Linked DNA regions of Zea mays. Each later gene encodes a partner of the first gene's protein in a complex. Links are inferred from orthologs where the notes say so. Each region holds a gene or a part of one and is shown on either strand. Other genes may lie near its edges.

Region 1 (3,954 bases):
AACGCTAGCATCCTGTTGTTCACTTAGGTGCCTATGCATAACGCAACGGAGAGGGGGAGGGGGAGCAGCAATCACGAAAACCAAAAAAAGAAAAGAAGTACCAGCATAAGGAGCTAGCACATTTGCATCTTGGATGAAGGCTCCCATTCTCAACTTCAAGTTGACAGAACGAGACTGTACTATACTCAGTGCCCAGAGAAATCTCTCATGGTCACGTGCAAGGCGTTTCAGCTTTAGAGGAATTGGTTTGTCCTGGATATTACCCATCAAGCTAGTTAGAGGAGTTCAAGGAAGGTAAGCTAGTAACATAATGAAGAAGTATACCCAATGCTTTTGCCAAAAGTCAATTGCTCGTTCCTGGTGTTTTAACATTTGTGAAGCAAGATCTTCATCTTCTAGTTCCATTAGATCTTCCTAGAAAGGCAGGCATATGAATTCATTCAAACAGCAGAATCAAGTATAAGGAGGTTCCTAAGAAAAGGACACAGCAGAGGTATATACTTTCCGTTAGCTTTTTGATACCTTTGGTGCCAGCAGCAAACTAGTGCATTCATCAACACTTGGCAAAAAATCAGAATATAACTGCCAAAAGTTGTCTTCTATATCAAATGCATATAGAAGAAGACATGCTAATCTTAGATCCCAATCTGTCTGCAAGAGTAATACAAATTACATCAGCTTCCAGCATAGATCATTTATTGGCGCTTTAATATTTGTTGAAGAAAAGACAGATGATTGAGTTTTTGAAAGTGGTATCACTCCTCTCTAATGCAACTGTGAGCTTATGGGTCGATAACTTCAACCATATGGATGGAATGTGCACATAAATTGCTCTGCAGTCTCAAATTCTCAATTACACAGATCCTAGCTGTATGGAAACTCAAATGTACTATATGAACATTGAATGCTAAATTGCACCCATACAACTTCAACACAAGTCAATTAGATGGCTGTTATGTAATGAATCCTAAAATAAATATAGGAGAACCAACAACTGGTTAACAAAATGATTAGCGTGACAAAGCTATTAACTAATTCGCTGAACATTCAATAGAAACTAGTGACGGAATTTTAAGAGATCAGTTTTCTCTTTGCAACAAAAGATTTGATCCACCTACCTCTGGATCTGTTGACTCGATAACATCAAATATAGGATGGCCTAGTGGAATAATGTCAGGGAAAAACATCCAAGGTTTCTTTTGAGTTATAGTCAGCATCAGCTCCAACGGAATCTCCATAATCACCTGGAAAAGAAAGCAACATCAGCACATCTTTCAATAACATTGCTCATCATTGCGAACGAAAAGAACCAAATATGTTATACAAACAGTTTCAGCATGCCAAGAATATCATATAATTCTTTTGAACAAGACCATCGTACTACAGGTCTATAGCATGCATCAAGATGAAGAATTCAACACATGGGTCTGGCATTTCGTGAGCTTAATGCGACTGCGAGCAAACATGTGTTATAACTATAGATGCCATATTTTTTGGTGACAGCAAGTATGTAGCAAATAACAATTAGGCAATTAACATAAGCCATTGACTTCCAGTGGTAATGTATACTACCTACTAAATATAGTGTAAATATAATCTAACAGTTACTACACACGAACAACGTCCTTGACCAGTTATTCTCATGTGAGTTTCCCACCCAATCACAGATTCACAGGTGCTGCATCCAAACACTAACTGGTGTGGTGATGGACGTCCAGCTGCAATGAGACAGAGATTTAAACCTCAAATTGATCGGTAGCTAGTGGTTGGACTTGGACAAGAGGAGAATTGTTGAATGAAGTGTCTCACTCTAGCTCTGCGAAGTGGCTCCACGTCCCGGGAAGCGTAGACGCCCATCCCGTCGGGGCCTTCGAGGAACTCGATCCCATAGGCGCGCATCATCCGCGCATATCCTATCCGGTAGAAATCAGGGTCCGCGGGCTCCATCTACACACAATGCGATGACGTACGTAGACGATAACCGTCAATCGAGCGATTCTAAATTCGGCGGTGAGACCGGCGTCTGTAAGCGAGCGAGGAAAGCGTGAGGGTGAGGACCTCGGGCGGGAAGGGGTCGTCCTCCTGCGGCGGCTCGAGCAGCCTGAGCGGAGGCGTGTCGTCCCGCTCCGCCGCGACCTCCGCCACCGGGGGAGGAGCCGGCGCCGGCGCCTGCAGGCGCGGGCGGCCCGCGCGGAGGTGACGCGGTTGCCGCCGGACGAGGTGTCGCCAGGGTGTCCGGCGGGGGAATGAGTTAGGGAGAACGGAGGGGAAGAGGAGGGCGGGGGCGGTGGGGATGGCCATGGCAAGGACAGGGAGGGACGGTGAACTGGACTCGCCGAAGACGTTATCTGTTGAGTACTTGAGTGGCGGGCTGATTTTTTTGCATTTTGATCCTTCATCGGAAAAAAATTCACGTTTGGACCCTATAAAATTTTAATGTCATTTTTGGACCCTTTACTCGGCGCCGTAGCCTGTGGCGCCGAGGTAACACAGCTCGGCGCCATAGGCTATGGCGCCGAGGTACGTGCTGCGTTGGCACAAACGGACGTCGTGGCGCCCAACTTTTTTGCAAATTGGCCCTTTTCGGGTTTTTTCCCACAAATATGCCCCTGGCAGTTTCATTTCAAAAAATGGACCCTTAGCTCGGCGCCGTCATCATTGGCGCCGAGCTTCTGTGTGCCGGCGCCAATACTATTGGCGCTTATACATCAGACGTGGCGGTTGGCTGGCAGTGACGTGTCAGGGGGTCGGCGCCAAGATCTATGGCGCCGACCCCCGGGTCGGCGGCGCAACACGTGTCCGGGGGGTCGGCGCCATAGATCTTGGCGTCGACCCCCTGTATTCAACCTCTGTCAATCTTCTGTGCAAAAAAAATTGAACTCACGCCGCCCCCAAGACCCCGCGCCGGCGCTACTCCTTCCCCGGCCCGCGCTACTCCCCGGCGGCGCTCCACCACCGGCCGCCGCCGCCCCGCCCGCCCCCGGCCGGCGCCGCTCCTCCACCGGCCGGCGACGCCAAGCCCGTCCCCGCCCGGCGCCGCTCCTCCCCGGCCGGCGACCCCCCGCCCGCACCCGGCCGGCGCCGCTCCTCCCCGGCCGGCGACGCCCCGCCCACACCCGGCCTTGCGCCGCTCCTCCCCGGCCGGCGACGCCCCGCCACACACGCCCCCGCCCCTCAAGCGCCCCCGCCGCCCCGCCCGGCGCCGCTCCTCCCCCGACCGGCGCCGCCCGGACACGCCACGCCCGCCCCCCGGCAGCCCCGCCAGCCCTGACCGCGCCGCCGCCCCGACACGGCCGGACGCCTCCCACCGCCGCCGCACGGCCGTCGTCCCGTTCCGGGCGCGCTCCTCGGTCGCGCTCGCTCCTCGCCCGCGTCGTCGACGTTCATCCCCGACCGTTTAGGTAAATTTTATATGGTTTTTGTTTATTGTGTAAGCATTTTGTGTTAATTATGTTAAATTGTTTTGCTATAATTTGTGGTTTTTTGAATGTGATGAATGTTAGTTATTGTGATAAATGCTAATTTGATTGAATATTATGAATGTGAGTCAAATGTGCATGTTTTTTATCCTCCCCGTGCAGGGGAGGTGCTGTCAAAATTTGCAATTATTATATATGAGTATTTTATAATGTGATAAATGCTAATTTGATTGAATATTATGAATGTGAGTCAAATGTGCATGTTTTTTATCCTCCCCGTGCAGGGGAGGTGCTGTCAAAATTTGCAATTATTATATATGAGTATTTTATAATGTGGTTAGTATATTAGTGGGTGGTGGTTATATTTGTACTTATTTAGGTAGTAATTAGTGGTTTGTGGTTAGGTAATAACCATCCACAGTTTATATTGAATGTTTAATTGGTGTTTCAAATAGATGGACAATTTTTTGAGCTTGTATCATGGAGGCAATGCGGAACAAGATCCGTATGGAAATGCCAAGTTCATTGACATGCG
Region 2 (3,600 bases), on another chromosome or scaffold:
TTAAGCTTCTTAATATAATACCGTGAGGTGGTCTTTCCTTGCCGGCTGAGTTTTTTTAACCTGCCTGGGCCTAGAAGCCAGAACCAAACACGCCCAAAGTTTCACTGCAGTTACACAGGATTGAAGGGCCTTCAGAATTGTCCTTTTGTCCTTGAATTTCCTCTCTTTTTGTAGGCTGTAGTTGCTTCAGCCCTATGATTCCTGTAATTGTGCTTTTCTTTTCTTCAATTGTGTAACAGCCTCCCTCCCTCTCTCAGATAAAACTGGCAATGCTATTCTACACCTAGTAGCTAAAACTGACCATGAAATACTGAATACGAATGAACCACATCCAGTACCAACCAGTAGTACGCGTCAGTACCACGAAATACTGAATACTACTGACACACGACTATTGAGTGTATACATAACAATGTGTGCTTGTGTGTGCTTACAGCAGTAGGAATTTCCTCTACTGTTTTTCCGTTTAAGGGCTAGTTTGGGAACCACATTTTCCTAAGGGATTTCTATTTTTCCAAGAGAAATTAGTTCATTTTCCCTTGGGAAAATAGGAATCCTTTAGGGCTAGTTTGGAAACACCATTTTCCCAAGGGATTTCTATTTTCCCAAAGGAAAATGAACTAATTTCCCTTGGGAAAATGAAAATACCATGGGAAAATAGGGTTTCCAAACTAGCCCTTAGTAAAATGGAATTTCCCGTGATCAGAACTGCAGGGTGCTGTCGCTGGTGCATTGAGCTGGGGCTGGAACAGAATTGGATGCAGTAGCGGACCCAGAACTGAAATAGAGCCCGGACGAGACTTAAGACATCACTCAGATCAAATGATTCAAAGCTTCCGATTAAGGTGCTGCGATGAATAGCTAATTGTGCGCTGGCACCAAAGTCTGGCCAGGCGCCTAGGGTCGCTGGACCCTGGGTCCGCCACTGACTGTATGGACGTTTTAGCATGGAAACAAAACCTTCAGATTGAGAAAAATGGAGGATGAACTCCAACGGGAATCCTGTCAGGAGCTCATCTTATGGGCCGCATGGGCGTATAAATTGAGCTGGAAATACGTCCTTTGCTCTATTGTGGAGAGGCTCAACTAATAGATCCCCTTTTCTCTCCAATCTTCTAATGGGAGTTTCCTCTTCCTCTCAAATGTCACAATGATAAGTAGGTCTCACCTCTACTTACCTATTTTGTTTCTCAATTAATTTCCCGCAAGAAAAAAGGTAACCCTCACTATTTTTTTTATAGAATTCTCACAAGGACAATTTGAACCATATAGGGGTGGCTAGGTTGGGGTGTTAGTTTGACATACCTTTTTCTCTATATAAGATCTTGTTTCCCCTAAGGAACAATAATTGTGGACATTCTCTTGCTTGAAGTGCATATGCCAAATCCCTCTCAATATTTATATCAACTTTGACTGTCTATTAAACAAAACAAAACAAAACTTAGGACCTGCACAAAGACCAGTAACCCAGCCAAATAATCAAAAGATGCTATTCAAACTTACCCGAGGAGGTAAGCGATCTTTAGCATTCCAGTACACCTTAGCAGCCTTTTCCAATTCTTGAAGAAACTTCCAATTGTCAGCAGCCCTGCAAATCACAACATCATGCAGGGTTCAATACTACACAATCAAAGCCTCCTGTAAATAAACTAATAAACTTCACCCTAAACAAAGCAATTCCAGAAACTGAAGCCTGTTTTGCCGTTTATCTGTCAGTACCAGGACAGTTCTGAAGTTTCTAGTTTCGTTTGATTCACACTTTACGGACATCCGCATTACACAATGCAAAGCTTAAAATGGTGATTGGGTTACACACAGCCCATTCCAAACATAATGCCAACAGTTTACAAATCAAAACTAGACAGGGAATGGATGGTCCTTACCTGTTGTACCGCTCGAAGACTAGGACGACTAAGGGGCTGGGGTGGAATGCGAAGCTCTCCCACTCCAAGCAATTGATTTCCTTGACCCACCCCTCGTCGACGTCCCCTTCCCAATCGATCTCCACCCCGTCCACTGTGACATTTCTGATCGAGTGCTTGTCGAAGTACTCTGAGGCCCGGATCCCCCATCCGACATCGGCATCCAGCGGCCAGCTCGGGTCCTCCTCTTCCACCACGGGCTTCTGTTCTCCTCCTTCTCCCTCTCCCTCGTCGTCTGGTAATCGCTCCACATCGGCCTTCGGCTTCAGGATGTCGCCTTTGCCCTCGAGGACGTCGGGGTTGCGCTCCTGGATGGAGGCAAAGACCTGCTCAAGGCGGTTGCGGACGAAGTCCTCCACGGCCGCCGACTCGCTGCGGCGCCCACGGCGTGGCTTCCGGGGCTTGGTTGTGGGGAACCCTGCCTCGGTGGATCCATCCGGGTTCCGGTTGCGGGCCTCATGTGTGGGCTTTGGTGGTTCCGGGTTCGACGTCGGCTTCGGAGGCCGTGAAGACGAAGAAGACGGCGGAGGAGCGGATGAGACAAAGATGAGCTTGCGGCGGCGGCGGCCATGGCTGCAGCCGACACGGTTCAAGCTGATGGCGGGGGTTGAGGGTTTAAGGGCGGTGAGGGTGGGGAGACGGAGCATCGTGCGCGGCGAGAATGGGCGCGAGTATGCGGCTGGGTTTCGCCGGTCGGCAGGTGCGCCCGTGCTATCCGAATGGCGGTTTCTCGTCCGCCGTTGCCCGTTGGTCTCGTGATCTTCTCAAATCCAACGGCACTGACGCTTCCAGCCTCGTGAATGATTCGTGAAAGCATGACGAGTGTGAGGAACTGCCAAAATTAGAGCAAATGGAGTATCTTAATCCCTTTGGATCTCTCAAACCAAAAGAAGAGAGAAACTTATCTCTATAACATCAGTAAATGATAATTGTGTATGTGTCATATTTCAATAGTTAGTTTAGTCTAGAAAACATTATAAATTTAGACGAATGTGAAGAACTACGCATATATTGCTCAACCGTCCCAAACTCTAATAAACGAGAAGAGTCGTGACGTCAAACCTACCTATTCTAATAAGGATGGAACCCAAAAAATTCTATTGGAACTTAACCCTCTCGAACATTGTAATTTTTGGTTTTATAAACAACAAAGTACACCAATTAACTATGGAGCTATCCAAATAACTATTTCCATCAGTTGTGCTTCTGAAACCTTGAAATAATGTATCACATATTCACTGAATGTACACTTACTGTCAAAATGAGTTTGGAAAGATACAGTCTAACAGAAGAAAGTTGCACCCCTCATTGTGGGCTACCTAAGACGACATAAAGACTATTTTGTGCACCTTAGATGCTAATGCCATTTTCTATGGTCAGTTTCATAGGGGCTTCGTTCTTATTAATGGTGTGCCATGTCAGCAGTTTAGATGATGTGGCAAGCAATTAATAAACAAAGAGATGAAATGATTTTCATGGAGATGAAACCATGTATACATTATTACCTAGACATATTGTCTTTTACATGTTAACTATGAAACCGTGCTGAATGAAACTCTTCACTATGAGAGATTGTTTCAATAAATATCTCATTTCTTTCTTAATTATGAAATCTACCACTGTAAATGCCCCTAAGGAACAACATCAGCCAAGCAAGGAACACTAGCACGGGTAGTGG
Region 3 (3,600 bases), on another chromosome or scaffold:
CACAATGAATTATGACATAATCAGGGTGTCAGTGGAATGCCATATATGGGTGAAGACTAAAATGCTACGAAAGGGTAACATTCCCCAGAAACGCCACAAATACAATTTGTTCACTTAATAAACATCTGCTTCAGTGGAATGAACATCACTGGGGAAATAGATTTGCTGTCATGGCTAATGTTAGGCTACGAGTTTGAAAACCTTGGTTCCATTGGCAAGTACGGGTGAACTGATAAATTGTAGGGGCCGTCTGCATCTCCTAGAAACATGACGCCCAAAGAAGGGTTCAAAGTGGTTCCGAATGCGCACGACTACTTAGTGTTGGTGTGTATTCCCATGTCGTGGTACAGACAAAGTTTGTTCCACCAGGGGGCTAAATCGGAGGATGAACAACGTAACAAGTTCACAGCTCAAACTACAAGTGTGGATCTGCTAAACTCATATGGGCTGGCCAAAATAAACTAGGATTTTTGAACAAAACCAGTGCTGATCTAAATATTTCCTGAATGAAGTATTCATTTGACGGGGTACAAGATGGTATACCTCAAGAAGGGAGGATCTCGCCCGCAAGACGGCGAATCGAAGCAAAATACGAGTGCTGTTCTAAATCAATCGTGAAATAAGTATTGATTTGACGAGGTTGAAGAAGGTAATACCTTAAGAAGGGGAGATCTCGGCCGCAACACGCCGAATCGAAGCGTCTCCGTGTGGATCTGATGGCGCCGTCGATGGTCGGAGACGGAAGCCAACGAATCGGTCGCGACGTACCTCGCCGGAAGCGGATTGGACTCCTCTTCGTCTTCGGTCGCGAACGGCACTGCGTGGTCACGAAGTCGAGGTCCTCTTCTGTGCAACCGAGGGGGGCCGGGGCCGACTCCACCGGCCGACGGGAGATCCGCCGCCGCGTCGCCGCGCTAAATCGCTCTTCCGCGGAGGGGTCGAGGCGAAGCGAGGTGGACCGAGAAGTTTCCGTAGTCTGGCGCGGCCGGCTCCGTCCGCGTGAAGGAGGCGAGGGGGCGGTTATAGTCATCCCCTGCATCTGGCATGAGAGAGAAGAGTGCGGCGAGGTAGGGGAGAGAGTGGCGCTCGCCGCTGCGGGAGGTAGGAGAGTACTGTAGCCACTATAGAATGAACAGTAATAGGGTAGGAGATGTGTAGAGTGAAGCGACAGTCTTATAGCCCGCTATTACACTTCTCTAAAGTCGAAAGACAACCTCCTTCCACGTGAGCGCTTTCTTCCTTCAGCCTTCTCGTTATCCTGAACGCGGCAATCTCCGAAGGTCCCATCCAAAACCTCGCCGCCGGATTCGCACCTCACTCTCGCCCGCGCACTACGAATTGACTGACGCCTACGCCCTACCGCTGCAAGCAGCACCATAGCGGGAGCCGCTACCATGGCGTCCTGCTACAACCCGTGGCGCCTATTCCCAGGTAACCTCCAGCTTGGACCCCATTTCATCGTTCGTTATTCCCTGCGCACAGTTCGTCTCGTCAGATATCACAGCCACTCTGTTGAAACTGTTCAGGCATGTCGACGGCGGTCCCTGCCGGGCCCGTCACGGCGCCGGCTCATTCTCGCACCTGCAAGTCCTCGGTAAGTGCCTAAACGCCTCGTACAGTTTATAACTTTGGTTCCTAGTTCCAGTTCGGTTTACGCGCCTGACTGGAGGTCGTTCGGTGCGTGCACAGAAAGTGTTCAGTGCTTTGCCTCACCGGAGGGGTCTGCTGTTCCTGGGCACGCGGCGTGCCAGGATCAAGTGCGTCAAGGACGACTCTCTCCATTTCGACCCGTCGAAGATAGAACCGCCACCGTACTCCAGCTACTTCGACTCCACATCCGGTCAGCTCGAGCCGGCGTCGGGCGCTCGGGCAAGCATACCCGGGAAGGAGTACTGGCCAGAGGGCACGGCGGCCCGCGTCCGTGCCGCGCGAGCGCCTGCTCCGGTTGGGGAGTCAGCTGGGATGCCATCATTTGGCACGAAGCCCGGGAGCAGGAGGAGAGGGTATAAGGAGCAGGTGACGTCGGCGTCAGGAACGGAGGGTGCACAGACTGATGACAGAAAGGATGGTGATGAACCTGATGTGGCTATTATAGGCTCTGGGGACGATGCATTGGAGGAGATAAAGGATTCGGTGGATGAGTATGTCATTTATGAGACACCAGAGGAAGAGGAGCTGAGTGAGTATGACATGGACAAAATGATGGGGCGGCCACACCCGTTCATTGATCCAGCAAAGGCAATGTCACTAGGGGAGCCGAAAACCAGTGAAGAGCTCTGGTGGCACTGGAGGAGGAAGTCTCAGGAGGAGGAAATGTGGTCAAGATGGCAGAGGAGGCGTCCAGATGTTGACACGGTTAGTTCCTCACTTGATTGAACCTAGCAAGTGGTAGGTAGTGATGTTTCCTTATATTGGGGCTGTTCACCAATTCCGGACATTGAAAGGTACTGCAACAAAAGGCCATAAATGTATGATTTTGAGTATTGCTATGGTACTCGCTAGTATTTCTATGCCTCATTTATAGTTCATATAGTATAAATGTTGCACGTACGGAACAATTTCCATGTGATCTTCCAGTGTCATTTTGTTTGTTTTATCCGTCCAAAAGTAGCTAGCCAAGTATATGGTATTTGTGTTGCTAATTACTGTCAAGTGTTAGCGACCATGGTGTCAATTATTTTATGGTTCTCCAGTTATTCTGTTTGTACTGTGAACGTGAGAAGAGTGTCAGTCTCACAGATGTAAAGGTGAGGTTTGTGCTTATGGGTTATGGCGTTGACGTCTGTGCATGTATATCGATGTGCAGGTTTGTCTGTTCATATCGCTTGATATGGTTGAGGCTTTGTGATTTTATTTTTTACGTTGACTGGTGTTTCAACTAACTTATATTCCGTGACGGCGATCCACATTATAAATTGTAATGTATGCTGTATCATTTTAGGTTTTTGCAAAGGCAATGGCGGAGACTGGGCAAATTAAAATTTTTGGGGACCATCCTTCACGGACAGAAGCTGCTCTTGCAAAGACAAGAAGACATTTGTACAAAGAGGAAAGGTTGACTTACATCCACAGAATACTAGAATTATTATACCATATATTTTTGCAGTACATCTTTACCGAATGATTTTATTGAATATCTGTGCACACATTGTTTCTACTAATTGCCTTACATCATTTGAGTTGGTAGTACCACCACTCGTGCATGGTCTCATCACATAATCTTTCGTAAACCTATTTAACTGCTCTTGGATTTACACCTTCTCCAAGTTATGCCACATATTACAAATATGTGGCGGTCTCATCATATATTCTTAAATACTGCATCAGAAAGATGTCGAGGATCAATTTTTTTAATTGACACAAGTTTATCTTGCCCATTTATACTCTTACATTTAATATACAATATAAAAACAGGTTAGAAGCAGAGCAAAGGAGACTAGAAGAAATAGGGCCAATAGCGTACTACTCAGAATGGGTTGAAGCTTATAAAAACAAGGATACATCACGTGAGGCCATACAGAAGCACTTTGAGGAAACTGGCGAAGATGAGAATGTTCAACTTATAAAAATGTTTCAACACCAAACTGCTGGGGAATATCG

Evidence for each region.
Region 2: Protein PLASTID TRANSCRIPTIONALLY ACTIVE 14-like (region 1) and Thioredoxin-like fold domain-containing protein MRL7 homolog, chloroplastic share a complex: the UniProt entries of both Arabidopsis thaliana proteins name them as parts of the transcriptionally active chromosome (TAC) complex. The link is inferred for Zea mays from reciprocal best matches to the Arabidopsis thaliana genes PTAC14 and MRL7.
Region 3: Protein PLASTID TRANSCRIPTIONALLY ACTIVE 14-like (region 1) and protein PLASTID TRANSCRIPTIONALLY ACTIVE 12, chloroplastic share a complex: the UniProt entries of both Arabidopsis thaliana proteins name them as parts of the transcriptionally active chromosome (TAC) complex. The link is inferred for Zea mays from reciprocal best matches to the Arabidopsis thaliana genes PTAC14 and PTAC12.

The regions. Positions count from the first base shown.
Region 1 is NC_050103.1:78,052,950-78,056,903, reverse strand, and holds the start of Protein PLASTID TRANSCRIPTIONALLY ACTIVE 14-like, read right to left. Parts: upstream 2,311-3,954; 5' UTR 2,302-2,310; coding exon 2,059-2,301; intron 1,948-2,058; coding exon 1,810-1,947; intron 1,245-1,809; coding exon 1,119-1,244; intron 652-1,118; coding exon 523-651; intron 415-522; coding exon 325-414; intron 253-324; coding exon 102-252; intron 1-101. UniProt on the Arabidopsis thaliana protein: Essential for chloroplast development, especially for thylakoid formation. Involved in plastid gene expression, probably by maintaining plastid-encoded RNA polymerase (PEP) activity.
Region 2 is NC_050098.1:188,498,179-188,501,778, forward strand, and holds the start of Thioredoxin-like fold domain-containing protein MRL7 homolog, chloroplastic, read right to left. Parts: upstream 2,614-3,600; 5' UTR 2,570-2,613; coding exon 1,884-2,569; intron 1,589-1,883; coding exon 1,504-1,588; intron 1,418-1,503; coding exon 1,306-1,417; intron 1-1,305. UniProt on the Arabidopsis thaliana protein: Plays an essential role in early steps of chloroplast development. Involved in the regulation of plastid gene expression. May positively regulate plastid-encoded RNA polymerase (PEP) activity through binding to FSD3 and CITRX/TRXZ.
Region 3 is NC_050098.1:198,690,692-198,694,291, reverse strand, and holds the start of protein PLASTID TRANSCRIPTIONALLY ACTIVE 12, chloroplastic, read left to right. Parts: upstream 1-1,202; 5' UTR 1,203-1,394; coding exon 1,395-1,431; intron 1,432-1,526; coding exon 1,527-1,594; intron 1,595-1,689; coding exon 1,690-2,355; intron 2,356-2,941; coding exon 2,942-3,054; intron 3,055-3,414; coding exon 3,415-3,600. UniProt on the Arabidopsis thaliana protein: Involved in plastid gene expression. Acidic transcriptional coactivator necessary for the transactivation of many PIFs target genes (class B genes), particularly during the regulation of hypocotyl growth.